Drosophila melanogaster: one gene and its partner. Changing the gene in region 1 together with any one later gene gives a genetic interaction. Each region holds a gene or a part of one and is shown on either strand. Other genes may lie near its edges. The genes, in order: REPTOR and mTor.

Region 1 (7,034 bases):
TTCGTAGACGATTTAACTTTTTGTTTAGCCAGCAAACGACGCGGGGTGGAAAAGCGCTGGCGGCAAGGAGTTTCCTTCCATGAATGAGTGAGTGAATTTTAGAAAAATAAACTAGGTACAGTAAAACTTTCAATTATTATGTGCTATTTGGACAGCGAAAAAACAACTTTTATTTCCAAGAAAACGATTTGATGGACAGTCCATTAGTAAAGTTTATAGGAATTCAAGTGAAATGGCGTTTCACTGGAAAAGAGTTAAGTATGATTGAAGTTTCAGCTTTTCAAATGCTACATACTTAATTTTAGTAGCATACTTAAAGTGATTTCCCCTTTATATTGGAGCATTAATGTTTGCTGAACGAAGTAACATTTACTTAAATATTATTACCCCTGAACGCAACCACTAATTTCATTTCGCACAAGTACAGTTTGGCCTATTTAAAAAGTCACTTTCCACTTAATTTTCCTCGCTTTCGTTAACCCCCCCCCCCCTGGCATTTCCACCGATTTGCATTTTCCACGCTCTTTAACGCTCAATTATATAGCACATAGAAGGAGAATTTCAAATGGATATGGAAATTGGCGACAAGCAGCGCGACTGGCGATTAAAAAACAGTTTATAAATCATCGATGTCAGTGGCAGTTCGTACACTTCTTTTTTCCCCCTCTAAGTTTTTCCTTTTTATGGCGAACATCTCGTAGATTGTTATGTCCTTACAAATCTGCATATGGATGGCAGAAAATTACATACTTAACTGTGGGTTGCCGCATGCAGTTTCTTTTAATGGGGTGCAGCAACCCTCTTCGAAGATCCGATCCATTCGGTTCCGTTTCGATACGATTGCTTTTTCCACGCGAAAAACTCATTTCAATCATTATTAAAATTTCCTATTTACATTTCTATTGAAATGAATGCGGAAGGGGAAAGGGGAAAGCGCACCTAAGGAACTAAGAAAACAAATCTGAAGAATGAGTGAATAGAAACGGAACTGTTTTTATTGGGAAAACATAAAAGTAGCATAAGTTTAACTACCAAGGGTAGTTAAATCGCTACTATATCATTGTCCTGCTCCCATCTCCCATTTTATATTGTTCCCATTGCCAGAGCAGATCCTTTCGAGCCAAGCTGTCTTCGCTTCCCCCCCGTAAAAAAAAAAAACACCCAAGTTAATGTCCTTTGATCCATATGCGTGTGCTTTGTTCGAAAGCAAACTGGAATTTCAAATTTGGCATTCGGGCAAGTAGTAATAATGAAAATAAAAAGAGTCTCGGGATGCTTTTCATGGTTATCTAGGGCAGCGGGTTGTCTCCTTCGCGAGTCCTGTTTTTGGATTCCCTCCATTGTCTGTCTTACAAAGTTCTGTAAGCAGTACGGTAAGTAGAACAATCCACGTGAAACGAACAATGGATCTTGATTTATGGTTCCAAACTGGAACAGAAGCTCTCGAGCTCTAAATGGTTATGTGGAGGAAGTGTTGTTAAAGGATTTCTCCAACTGAGGATCATCTAAGGTCAGTTCTTGGTATGAAATTTAATATGAGAATTATAGCTCTATATATTTTTATTCCATCTAATTGTTGTTTTCTACAACTTTTGTCAGATTTAATACAATTTATTAGAAGAGAAGAAGATTGTTTCGTTCTTTGGTTCGTCAAGAATCCCTGTTGATCCTGCGAGATCCTTTGACTCTACACCACTTGAACTCAACTTAAACTCCCATTTATAATCATCCAATTTTCTTATATAGTGATCCTAAAATGCTAACTCATCTCGACACCACTTGATGCTTCGCACTTTGAACCCAGCGATGTCATAACAAGCATCTAATTATGCGAGTGACAAATGATCCAAGAAAAGTGCATTTTCCATCCGGACCGTCTCTTGAAGAAAACTTTTTCGAAAATTTGATGAATTAACCTTAATTTCCTGTGTCAGTGGCCGGCGGCGTTTTGAACCCAACACTTTCCTTTTTTTTCTTTTCGCCTCGGGCGGGGGGCTGGAACGAGTTTCTATCAATGGATCCTTTGTCCAAGGATTTGCACGTGTGCACAAATTAGCAGAAACTGGTTACAAGGCATTCGCCTTCTGTTTTCCGATCGAAAGAAAGCGGAGAAACTAGTTTTTCCAGCGGGGCGCTTTTACACAGCATTGTTCTAAGAGGATAAGGTTCACAAAGCAGGGGGGAAAAACCAGATGGACCAGGAAAATTATGAAAATTCCATTGTTTTCCTCTAGTTATTTGTTGGCCTAGCGGGGTGTAAGTCCCCTAGACTTTCCCTCTTCCTATTCCTCCAGCAGCTTGAAGTCGGTAAAGTAATAATTAAGGAATTAGTATACGCTAGTTTTCCCATTAAAGAAACTGATTGGAAGTTCCAGGATCGAGAAGGCAATTCCAACTGAAGTTCCTCCACTCAGAAGCTTCCCTAGCAACAACCCCAAGCGTATGAGTCATTGGAAATCCCAGGATCGGAACACGTGGTGCCGAGGAAATTCCATCGAATCAACCGAATTGAAATTCCCTTTGCCATTCAACAGGATTTCGAACAAAAGGAATTTGAATAACTTTGCCCTATGTTGTTCCAGCATGTGAAGGAATTAAAAAACGCTTTAAAGAACCCGAATCACTGTGCCAAAATTCTACACTGCAAACAATTTGGTACATACATAAACAGTAATAAATAATATTTCAAATATATCAAAATCAAATAGTCAATATTTGTGGTATTCGTAAATATGAAATTTTGCAATAATTTTTTAGCCTAATTTTCCGCACATAATAGTTCGTTTTTTCGTCATAATTTTATAAAAAACAGCCACAATATGGAATGCCATATCTCAAAAAACTCGTTATAAAATTCTAAATCAATTGGCATTTAAATTTGAAAATTTTTTTTTTTGTTAAATTTTTTTCAAAATTTTATGATGTTACCCCTTGCAAAAAATCCAAAATTCATAAAATTTTGAAATTCCAAATATGAACAAAAAAGTGATATAGATCGTTAGTTGGGATAATAAGCTGCACAAAACTATCAAATGTTGTAATGTGAGTACATTTTTAGCCAAGTTATGATAAAAAAGGCGTTTGAAAATAGCAAATTTCTTGTGCTGATTTTACATCTATTGGGAAATTTATTTAGAGTTTCAGATATTGGTAATTTAATAAATATTTTTGACAGTGCATGACACAAACCAACCCCTCAATTTCCGAGCAAAGACCAAGGGGGAGGATCAATCTGTGGATTGTAAGGGGTGCTTGGAACACACGTACTCAGCATGGGATGCGTGTAAATTTCTAAGCCATTACAATGTCATGTCACTGGGTCCTTGGAAGCACCCCATTCGCGAGGAAAAAGCCAAGGAAATGCACAAGGAAGGGCCAAGGACAAGGGTTGAGCTTGCTCTGGGGGTTGCTTTTGGACCAGCGAAGGTTTCCTTGGGGTGTCTGCGCCATCAGTTTATGGTTCTCCCCCTTTTTTTGGGGGGGTTAAGAGGGCCATGTGTCGAAGAAGGCCAAGCACTGATCTTAGCCTGTCTGATGCAAAGAACATTCAAAAACACAAAGTGCCCAAGAAAAGTTGAAGAAAGTTTTCATGCTCAAAAGCAAAATAGGCAAACTTTCAGAAACAGATATTTGATATTTTTACCCTTATCTTAGGGAAATAAAGAATTAGCATCTTTGCGATGTCCATTGCGTGTAATATCTGCCGTTAACAACAAATAACTAAAAACTAGTTAAACTTATAAAGAACTGTTTTTCATGCATTTAAAATGAGTAAACTTGAAGTTTAAAAAACTCAATTAGTCAATACCTTTTAAAAAAATCAAAGTCTATAGCATAATTTAAAACCACCTTCACTTTATGCATTTTTAAGAACAAAGGAGTATAATATGTATGAAAAGTGCACAATTACAACATTAAAGAGAATATCAAACAAATAAATTTACTGCATTATTTATTTATTTATCAAAGGCGCATAATTGATCAAATTAGCACTTGATTGCTAAAAGGAAATAGAAACTGAAAATTATGGATTTACATACACTAACGCAAATTAAATTTACGATTGTGTAAATTGGCTAAATCTTCATTTGCACACAAAGTAACATCCAAACGAACGGCTCTTTGTTAGAGTGCAAAAATAATAATCTAACGAAGTGCAATTAATTCAAAATGAAGCGAAATAAAAGCAGACCACGAAATGGCACACAAGGAATCGAAAAGAAGAACGTAGAGGGGCAGGGGAGAGAGAGGGGGAGTAAATAGCAGTGTCATGAATGAATGCGATGTGCGGAAGTGTGTATGTGTGTCAACGGGAAAGAGATAGAACGAAAGCTGATTGCGGTATTTGCATCCCGCCGCGAGCGAGCGAGATGGAAGCTGCAGCGAGCGACAGGCGCGTGCATGCGCCAAATGCCTGATTGGAATGGTACGTACACATTTCAACATTTCCACACGTTTCTGCAGCTGAAAAGCTTTTGGCGCCAATTTTGCGCCAAGCAAATTGCAGTGCAGCAGCACCAGCAGCAACAACAAAATCACAACAATCAGCCGCAGCAGCAGCAGCTACAAGCCAACAAACAAACAAACTGGTTTTTCATCGGCTGACCGACAATTGCGGCTGAAGGCGAAGGGCAGGCAAAGCAGCTGAAAAAAAAAGGAAAACCACCGAAATCCCAATCCACAAATGCACAAACCAACACGACTGTGGTGTTTTTGTTGTGGTTAAGAGAGTTTTATGCTAATTATTGGGGGCGGGGCAACAAACACACACCACTGGCGTCCCACTCGATACACATATACAGTTGCTTACGCTTTGTTCGCTGTAACGAAAGCAGCAACAAAGCAACCAAAAGCAGAACCATTTACATACACACACACACATCGATACTCTATTGCTTACAAAGCAAAAATCTTAGAATGCTTCTATTTAGCAGATGATGTCACTTACCTATTCTGGTTTTGAAGCCAAAATGTGCGGCACACTTTAAACTTGATAATTACAATGGGTTTTCCCCAGTTACACGGTTTATTCCGTGGTTTTGAAACGATTTTTTGGGAGCGACGAGCAGGTCGCAGGTGTAGATGAAGACTATTTACCATTCGCTTTTGCTCCGCTATTCTACACACAGGGTTGCATTGCGCTGGCGACCAGTGTTGCAGGTGGCACGTCGATTTGGCGGGAAAGTGGCGGGCATTTCGAAAATCAAATTTTTGTAAATAAATATTAAATATTATATTACCTATTTACATTCTTTATTTTCCAAAATAATTCAATAAAACAAAGAAAACGATCAATGTAATTGCTCTTTTCTTTTTTACAGGCAGTGCCTACATCTTTATTGCAACACGAAAGCAAACAACGCTTGCAACATTCACATATCCTCCACGCTGTACTTGTAGGCCTCATCCTGCACGGCCCGCCGTTCGTTCTGTTTGTCGAACCAACGCTGCTCGTAGCCGTTGGATCGATCGACGCCATCCCAGCGATATCCTGGTCGGATGCCAAATCGGTTCTCCGGAAAGCTGCCCTCGTACTTGGGCATCACCGGCTTGTTGTCCTGCTGGTCGCGTTTCTTGCGCTTCTGGCGCATGTACTCCAGCATCGGGTCGTCGGCGTGCTCCTGTTCGCGCAGATGCCTGTCCAGATCCTCGTCGTTGGCATAGCGAGCCACCGGTTTGGAGGCCTCATGGACCATCTCCTCCAGGCGGGACTTGTGATCTTCTATTTGCTTCAACCCCTTGCCCCAGCGATCGTACAGTTCCTTCTTCTTTTTCTCGTGCTCCTCTTTGCGGCCCTGCTCGGCGGGATCCTCATTGGCGGCATCTCGTGCTCGGTGTCCCTTTCTGCGAGTACTGCGCACCTGCACATCGCCATCACGACCGGAAATTTCGCTGGACATTTTCTCGAATAGTTCATGTTCTTGTCGACGCCTTTCGTCGGTTTCCTTCTTCAGCGATTTCGCATCCTGCAGTCCAGCTTTCTTGCCATCTAGTGTCTTGGTGGATTTCGGCTTGTGTGTCGGAGGTGGAGATGCTGATTTGCTGGGCGATGCCTTGGCCCAGCGACTTTTCCTTTCTTCCTTGAAGCGATTACGAGGCGGTGGACTGCGCTCTCGACTTCTGTGATTTCTGGCCGGGCTTTGGTCGGAGTCGTGACGTCTGCGTGGTGATTTGTCTCGTTTTCTGGTTGGACTTTGGTCGAAGTCTCGTTTTCTTCGCGGTGGCGATTGATCTACATCCTTGGGTCTTCTTGGCGGGCTTTGATCGGAGTTTCTTCTCCTCCTTGGCGGCGTTTGCTTGTCATCTCTGCGTCTTCGGGGCGGGCTTTGATCTGAATCCCGCCTCCTTCGCACTGGAGACTGGTCATTGTCTCTCCGTTTCCTAGGCGGACTTTGGTCGGAGTCTTTCCTTTCCCTTCGCACCGGAGATTGATCGTCTGCTTTACGCCTTCGAGGTGGGCTTTGATCGGAATCTTTCCTCCTTCTGGGCGGAGTTGAATCCTTGTCTCTACGTCGCCTTGGCGGACTCTGATCGGAGTTACTTCTGCGGCGTCTGGGTGGCGATTGATCGGAATCCCTTCTCCTTCGAGTGGGTGATGCTTTTCCCGTTCGTTTTCTTGGCGGACTTTGGTCGGAATCCCGCCTTTTTCTGACTGGCGATTGATTGCCATTCCTGGCCTTTCGGGGTGGACTCTGATCGGAATCCCTGTGCTTTTGGCGTGGCGGAGACTGATCGCCATCTCGCCCTCGTCTGGTGGGACTCTGATCTGAGCTTCCCGCCCTTCTTCGCCCCCTTTGAGGACTCTCTTCTCGCTTTGCTGGCTTACTCGATCTCGCTGGGCTTAAATCCCTAGAGCTGCTGCGTTTTTCTTGCTTAATTCTGACGGGTGAACTTCGTCTGGATGGTGAGAATTCATCCTTAACCTTAACAACTGTCGCCTTGCGTCCCCACATCTCCTGCTCCTCATCCAAGGGCTCCTGTTTGATGCGAATGCCAGTTGCTGGCGAGGATTCCTCGTGCTCTTCTTTGATTTC
Region 2 (6,825 bases), on another chromosome or scaffold:
AATCTTACTCAGTAGCTCCTCGTACTCGGGATCCACAATGCGATGTTTGTTGAGAGTGCGCTGGACCATAGGCACGAACACGAGGTACTTCTTGCCCAGTTGCTTTGCCAGTGAGCGAAGGGTTGTCATAGCTTGGTCCCGAAGCTCTGGCTCAGCGTCCAGCACTCGAACCAACGGATGTATGATGCGCGAGGAGAAGTCGGTGAAGTCCAGCTGACAGGCTAGATTGTTGATCGTTTCCAGGGCTACCATTGACACCTGTTGTGGTACGTACGGAGAATCGAAGAGTTTCACGATCGGAGGCAAAATCAGCGGCAGATAGTAACCCAAAGTGCTGCCAAACTTTTGAAGAGCTTGGAGCAACCTTCTCGTGACCATTCTATCCTTGGAGTTATCGTGCTGCAACACTCGCAGAATTTGTGGGATCAGCTCCGCCAAATAATCCCTAAACTCGCATCCCAAAGCCACGGCGATCTGTTCAATCAAATTGATTAGAGTGTTTTGCAGAGGCGTATTAATGGTCCAAAATTCTTTGATCAGCTTAAAAATATCTCCCATGTAGCTGATGATATGCAGCTTGACAAAAGCCACCAGAATGGCGAGCTGCTGGAAGAGAAACTCCCTTAGATTATTATCTGCAGTGCGTACATTGTCCAGCAAATTGGGAAGCACTTGGGCCAAGTACGGCACACATTTGATGCCCAGGCTCTGGAAGATAAAAGTAACCGCCTGCACCACGCTGGTGTGACGTGTACTTAACGTGGGATCCCGTAGAATCCTCATCAATGCAGCTATGGCCACAGCGGGATAATACTCATCCAATGCGTTACCCATGTTAACTAGCAACTCAGCGGTGGAGATGTCCTGACTTTCATCGACTTTGCCATCGGAGTATGCTATTAAAACATTATCCTTTTGGCTATCAATCAAGCCCTTGTTCATCTTGTGCTTGTAAGGATCCATGGCTCCCAACAAGCCCAGCACTCGTATCGTTTCCCTTCGAATGGATCGACGTTGTTCCGTTTTAAGGAAATTAATCAAAATATCTATGAGCACGGGGTACTTGTGATATGGGGTAACCACCCTGCCTGTTGCACTGATTAACTGTCCCAACGTCCACAGAGCCACTCCTCGCTTATCCGGACTGCCAGCGTCGCCCAGCATTTCGAGTAAAATGGACAGAAGGTCATCTGCCCACAATTCCATTTCATCGGAGCCTCCATTAACCTCTGCTAAATCACCAATTGTGCGAAGCACATTTAAAATAACTCCTGGATTCGATTCCGGCTCATGCAACTTGGGCACTAAGGCTTTGAGGATCGGATTCATGTAAGAGGATATTAGCCTGGGCGTGCTTATCACCAAATGGTCAAGCATCTTTGCGCTCTGCTCCTTGTTTCGACTCATTCCCGAGTACTTTAGATCCGTGATCAATTCGATCATGGTGGTTCTTAGCTTGGGCATCACATAAGCCGGGTTTATGGACGACAATCTTCCAATGGTAACCATTGCCAGCTCCCGGATCTCAAAGATTTCATCGTGCAGCGTAATAAATAGCGAATTTAGAGACTCTGGCTGAGCAAGCTTCCCATCAAAGGTCTCGTCCAGCGAACGTAGAATTCGTATTCGCACATTACAGTCCATATCAGTAATGGCTACCATAAGCAGGCGCTCAATCACGTGGGAAACGGTGTCGCTGAGGGTCTTGGAGTTCTCCATACTTTCAGAGGATTGCACTGCCAGTTTAAGGAGTCGTGTGCATGTTTGCACTGCCTCCAGACGAATCTCCTGCTGCTCGTGAACGATGAAGTAGTCAGCACATCTGAAAAAGAAATCAAACCTTGTAATATAACTAAAATATAGTAAATTAAATTAAATTACCGTTGCACAAAGTCCAGCATGTTTTGCTCCTCAAAGTTGAAGGTACCCAGCGTTTTGAGTGCCAGCACTGTGGTTGCTCCGTCACCATTCTGCATTAGCGAGCCATCGATGGCGATCGTTGGCAAAGCAGTGTATGGTAAAATTGCCGCCTTGTTCATCAGCACCTGGGATAGGATTCCGATCAATCCTTCTGTAATGGCCGACTTAAGCTGCGGCACATTCTCGGAGAGTTCCCTCAGGCAAACAGTCAGAGCTGGCGAGAGACCCGTGTAGAACATCTGCTCAAGGATATCCTTAACATCGTCGGCGATCTCCGACTTAACGGCATGAGCAAGAAGCGTTATGCAGGCAAAGACCGCAGGATCCACTGGTACCTTTCGTTTGCTGGTCAAATCCTTTGACGGCAAGGCGACCTTCACGCTAGTCATTATACTGGATAAATGAACTTCGATCGCACTCTGCACCGCTACAGCCATGTAACCAATGGTTATGTACGCCACCGTGCGATCCTTCTCCTTGCCTCGCAGGATCTGCATTAAATGCGACACGCATGTCTGCAGGTATTTTTCCACAAACACCGCGCGGTTAAAGGCAGCCAATCGAGGAAGTATTTGAAGGAGTGCCTGCTGTACATACGGAGACTTCGAAGTTCGCTGCTCCAAAACATTGTCGCAAATGGAGGTGTAGTGCTCCTGAAGGATCTCCTGAGCATATGCGGACTCCAGTACGTTGTGCTGCTGGATGTCGATATTATTAGTTACTTGCTTAAACATAACTAAATAGTTTGTATTTTAAATTAACAAACATTAAAATATCTTTTTTGTAATGAACAAATGGAAAATATACTATTTTAATACAAACATGCTTGTCTAAATGATTGCCGCCCCACAATTACTACTGGTAACGAATCACACTCTACTGCTACATTTTACACAATTTTTAAACTATAATTAGGTCAGCTGATTTCCTCCCGTCAGGCATCGCTTGGTTTTTAGATACATGTAAAGTACATACTACGTAAACCAAAAGGTAAATAAATGAAAATGACAAATACATTCGTGTGTGGAGGTATTTGATCGTTAGACTCACGCTCGCGAACTTGGCAACTCCTTTGTGATGCTCTCCCTCACCCAAATGCGTTTGGGTGCTGCCGAGCTTGTCAATGAAGGGCACCTTTAGCCGCGGCACTAGAGTATTCAGCTGGGAACCCATACTCGACGAACTGCTGGCCTCCAGGAACTTATTGTGTTGGGTCTTGGGGAACAGCGTCTTCAGAGACGTGTAGCGCCGCTCCCAGGTGGCATTGGCACAGCGAAAGAGCTCGTTGAAGACGACGAGGCCACCGTGAATGCGATCGTCTCGGGTCACGCCTTTCTGATCCTTGCTAGAGCCCAAGTCTGCATTGAAGCTTCCATTCGCCTCGTCATAGCAGATTCTGTACCACTGTGGTTCACTGGACTGCTTGGTGCTCTCTCGCTGAGCGGTGACAATCAAAGCCGCCCTCAAAGCCTCGCCAGCTGACTCTCGTATAGCAGGTTTGGGATCGAAGATGGCGTTAAAGATAACCTCGAAGAAGGTCAGGATGTGCTGGTAGAAGTATGTGGGCAAGGCGATAGCCAGCTCACGGAGGATAAAGACGGCTGAATGGCGGCGGTACTGAAAAAAATAATATATAAATGAATTTGGATAACTCTAGCCATGCTTACAACTACTATTTTCATTTTCATTATAAAGTTTTTCCATCTTCATCTCAAAATCAGACTTAAAAGCTTAATTTGTAGGTTTCCCTTATAATTCACCTCTTGTCTCTCGCCTCTGAGCACCTCAAAAGCCTTCTTAATATCAAAGTCGAAGGAATCGGCGCCCTTGGAGGTGGGCATGTTGGCCAATTTGACCAGGGAGCGGGCGGCAATCTCCATGACGGACACATCGTTGATTAGCAGAAGATCGCGCAGGCGGTTGAGATAGGGCGAAATGCCCTTCCTGGCAGTAAGACTGCCCTCGCAGTTAATCAGGCACTCTGAAAGGGAAGACGTTAAATCCTCTCAAGCACTGCCGGGGAGCCAGGAACTCACTCATGGCCAGGGCACCGCCTTTTTTCTCGTTGATATCTGTCGCATTCACCATCGTGAAAATGTGATGGTCGAACTCGTCGAAAAATTGGGCCAGCTCCTCCTGGGACATTTCGCGTAGCTCGGTCTTCACATAGAAGAGCAGATCCTGGGTTGCCTTGTTCTGTACATTCCGGTTGCGGGACTTAAGCCCGTTGACGAACTGCTGCACCACCGACGTCGTCGACATGGCTGGGCAGGGTTTATTCACTATTTAAACGCGATTTTCACTTGCATTTGGGAGGGGAAAGGGTGGAGCAGGTGCATCTGCCTGCTGTCTACGGACTTTGGAGGTTATCTTTTCAGTTGCCCCGGGGCGCTGTACGCACTGTTCCACTGGTCACTCGATAGGATTTCATGTGCCGGCACCGGTGCCGAACGATCTCACACGGATGCAGGTCCTTTGCTTTCTTTAATTGCGGATTACTTCGGTTTTTACGGAAATTTATTGCAGCCGCTGCCGATTAGTGATGTAAAACAGAATTCGATCAATTTACAATCGATATTTTCTTGCTGATACTTCTGTACTTGGCGGCGACTTATAAGCATTTAAAATGTTAGAGAACATATTAAATAAAAATAATAAAGTAATTAATAAATTTGTTCTTTATTATAAGCAATTAAAAAGAAATTGGCTTAAAGTTGTGGTACAAAACATTTATATTACTGGAGTGAACAAGTTGCATTGAAGAATTTGGAAAATAGCACAAAAATGCAAGCTTATGTTAAATTTTTAATAATTACCAACAAGTATTTCAAGATTTAACTGCGGAATGTGCTAGTGGAATCCGACTATTAATGTATCGTGACGTGCGTGAGTTTGATGTGAGCCCATCTCTATAGAGAACCTGGAGCCCTCGACGATAACCGATAGATCAATACTAGAGTGAAATCAAAAAAGCAAGAGAATTTTCATAAGAGCTGTTGAAACAAATGTGAGCTTATTTAATTTTAGAGCAGCTGAAAAAGCAGTTTTTACGCCACAAAACCACTGACCACAAGGTGTTGAATGAAAAGAAAGTGTGAAAATTGCTTTTGTGATGGGTAAAAGGTGGAAAATTCACCTTGCCGTTGGTGGCATGTGTGAAAATTGTATTGGAAAATCGATGCTGTGCTGCGGGGGTGTGAAGCTTTTCACTGGGGGCTGCTGCTGCACATCAGCGCCACCTATGCGTTTCCTCGCGGAAAACGCTCTCTCATTCGGGGGCATGGAAAATGCGTGTTTTTGTTTATAAGAAAAACGGTTACTTTTTCCCACAGCCAACGAACGATTTGACCGTTACCGAAGCAGAAGAAGAAGAGCAGCAACCGCGACCATGTCCAACTTGAGGAAATTCAAAGACGAGGAGCGCGAGTCGGAATATGGCCGTGTCTACGCGGTATCCGGACCAGGTAAGCGACGTCACCAGCGTCCTTCATGCGCTGACCCCCAAGTTCTGTAATCCTTAATCCTGCCTTTCTTCTGTTCTTAATTATACTCCTCCACATCTTCCTTTTTATCCTTCCTTATTATCCTTCTCCTTTTCATATTTCTGTATGCTTTCTTCCCCCTCCTCCTGTTCCGCATAATCTTCCTCATTATGCTGCTCTCTCCACTCCTTGCTAATCATATTTCTCCTGCTTTTCCTCCTTCAACAACTTTAAATCCACTTCAGTGGTCACCGCTGAGGCCATGTCTGGATCAGCTATGTACGAGTTGGTCCGCGTCGGCTACTACGAGCTGGTGGGCGAGATCATCCGTCTGGAGGGCGACATGGCCACCATCCAGGTGTACGAGGAGACCTCTGGCGTGACTGTCGGCGATCCGGTGCTGCGTACCGGCAAACCTCTTTCCGTGGAACTTGGACCCGGCATTATGGGCAGCATCTTCGACGGCATCCAACGTCCTTTGCGGGACATTGGTGTCATGACCAACTCCATCTATATACCCAAAGGTGTCAACACAACTGCTTTGTCGCGCTCGGAGATGTGGGAATTTAATCCGCTGAATGTGCGGGTGGGATCCCACATCACCGGAGGAGATCTGTATGGAGTGGTACACGAGAACACGCTGGTGAAGCAGCGCATGATTGTGGCACCCAGGGCTAAGGGAACCGTTCGATACATTGCCCCCGCGGGCAACTACAACCTGGAGGACATTGTCCTGGAGACGGAGTTCGACGGCGAGATAACCAAGCACACCATGTTGCAGGTCTGGCCAGTGCGGCAGCCACGTCCCGTCACAGAGAAGCTGCCAGCCAACCATCCGCTCTTCACGGGCCAACGCGTCCTTGACTCGCTCTTCCCCTGCGTACAGGGCGGCACCACTGCCATCCCCGGTGCCTTTGGCTGCGGCAAGACCGTCATTTCGCAGGCAAGTTGCAAATTATTCACTTAATCCACATCTTACATCTCATTAAATGACCATCCCTTCCAATCTGCACTTCAACCACCCGTAGGCCCTGTCCAAGTACTCCAACTCTGATGTGATCATCTACGTCGGTTGCGGCGAGCGCGGTAACGAGATGTCTGAGGTACTGCGTGACTTTCCCGAACTGACCTGCGAGATAGATGGCGTCACCGAGTCCATTATGAAGCGAACTGCTCTGGTGGCCAACACCTCCAACATGCCGGTGGCTGCTCGTGAGGCCTCCATCTACACTGGAATCACTCTGTCTGAATACTTCCGTGATATGGGCTACAACGTAGCCATGATGGCTGATTCCACCTCCCGTTGGGCTGAGGCACTTCGTGAGATTTCGGGTCGTTTGGCTGAGATGCCTGCCGATTCTGGCTACCCGGCTTATCTAGGAGCTCGTCTGGCCACATTCTACGAGCGTGCTGGGCGCGTCAA

What was found.
Region 2: of REPTOR (region 1) and mTor, changing one suppresses a phenotype caused by changing the other (phenotypic suppression), as found in Drosophila melanogaster (one study listed by BioGRID).

Annotation. Positions count from the first base shown.
Region 1 is NT_033777.3:24,577,765-24,584,798, forward strand, and holds the start of REPTOR (repressed by TOR), read right to left. Parts: upstream 5,101-7,034; 5' UTR 4,949-5,100; intron 1-4,948. Other genes in the region: CG13625 (uncharacterized protein), read right to left, coding at 5,373-7,034.
Region 2 is NT_033779.5:13,002,143-13,008,967, reverse strand, and holds the start of mTor (mechanistic target of rapamycin), read right to left. Parts: upstream 4,489-6,825; 5' UTR 4,183-4,488; coding exon 3,957-4,182; intron 3,902-3,956; coding exon 3,681-3,901; intron 3,538-3,680; coding exon 2,971-3,537; intron 2,619-2,970; coding exon 1,882-2,618; intron 1,823-1,881; coding exon 1-1,822. Other genes in the region: Vha68-1 (vacuolar H[+] ATPase 68kD subunit 1), read left to right, coding at 5,309-5,384, 5,648-6,345, 6,431-6,825. UniProt on the Drosophila melanogaster protein: Promotes cell and tissue growth, maintains tissue homeostatis and controls responses to environmental stress and aging. Regulates growth during animal development by coupling growth factor signaling to nutrient availability. Central regulators of autophagy.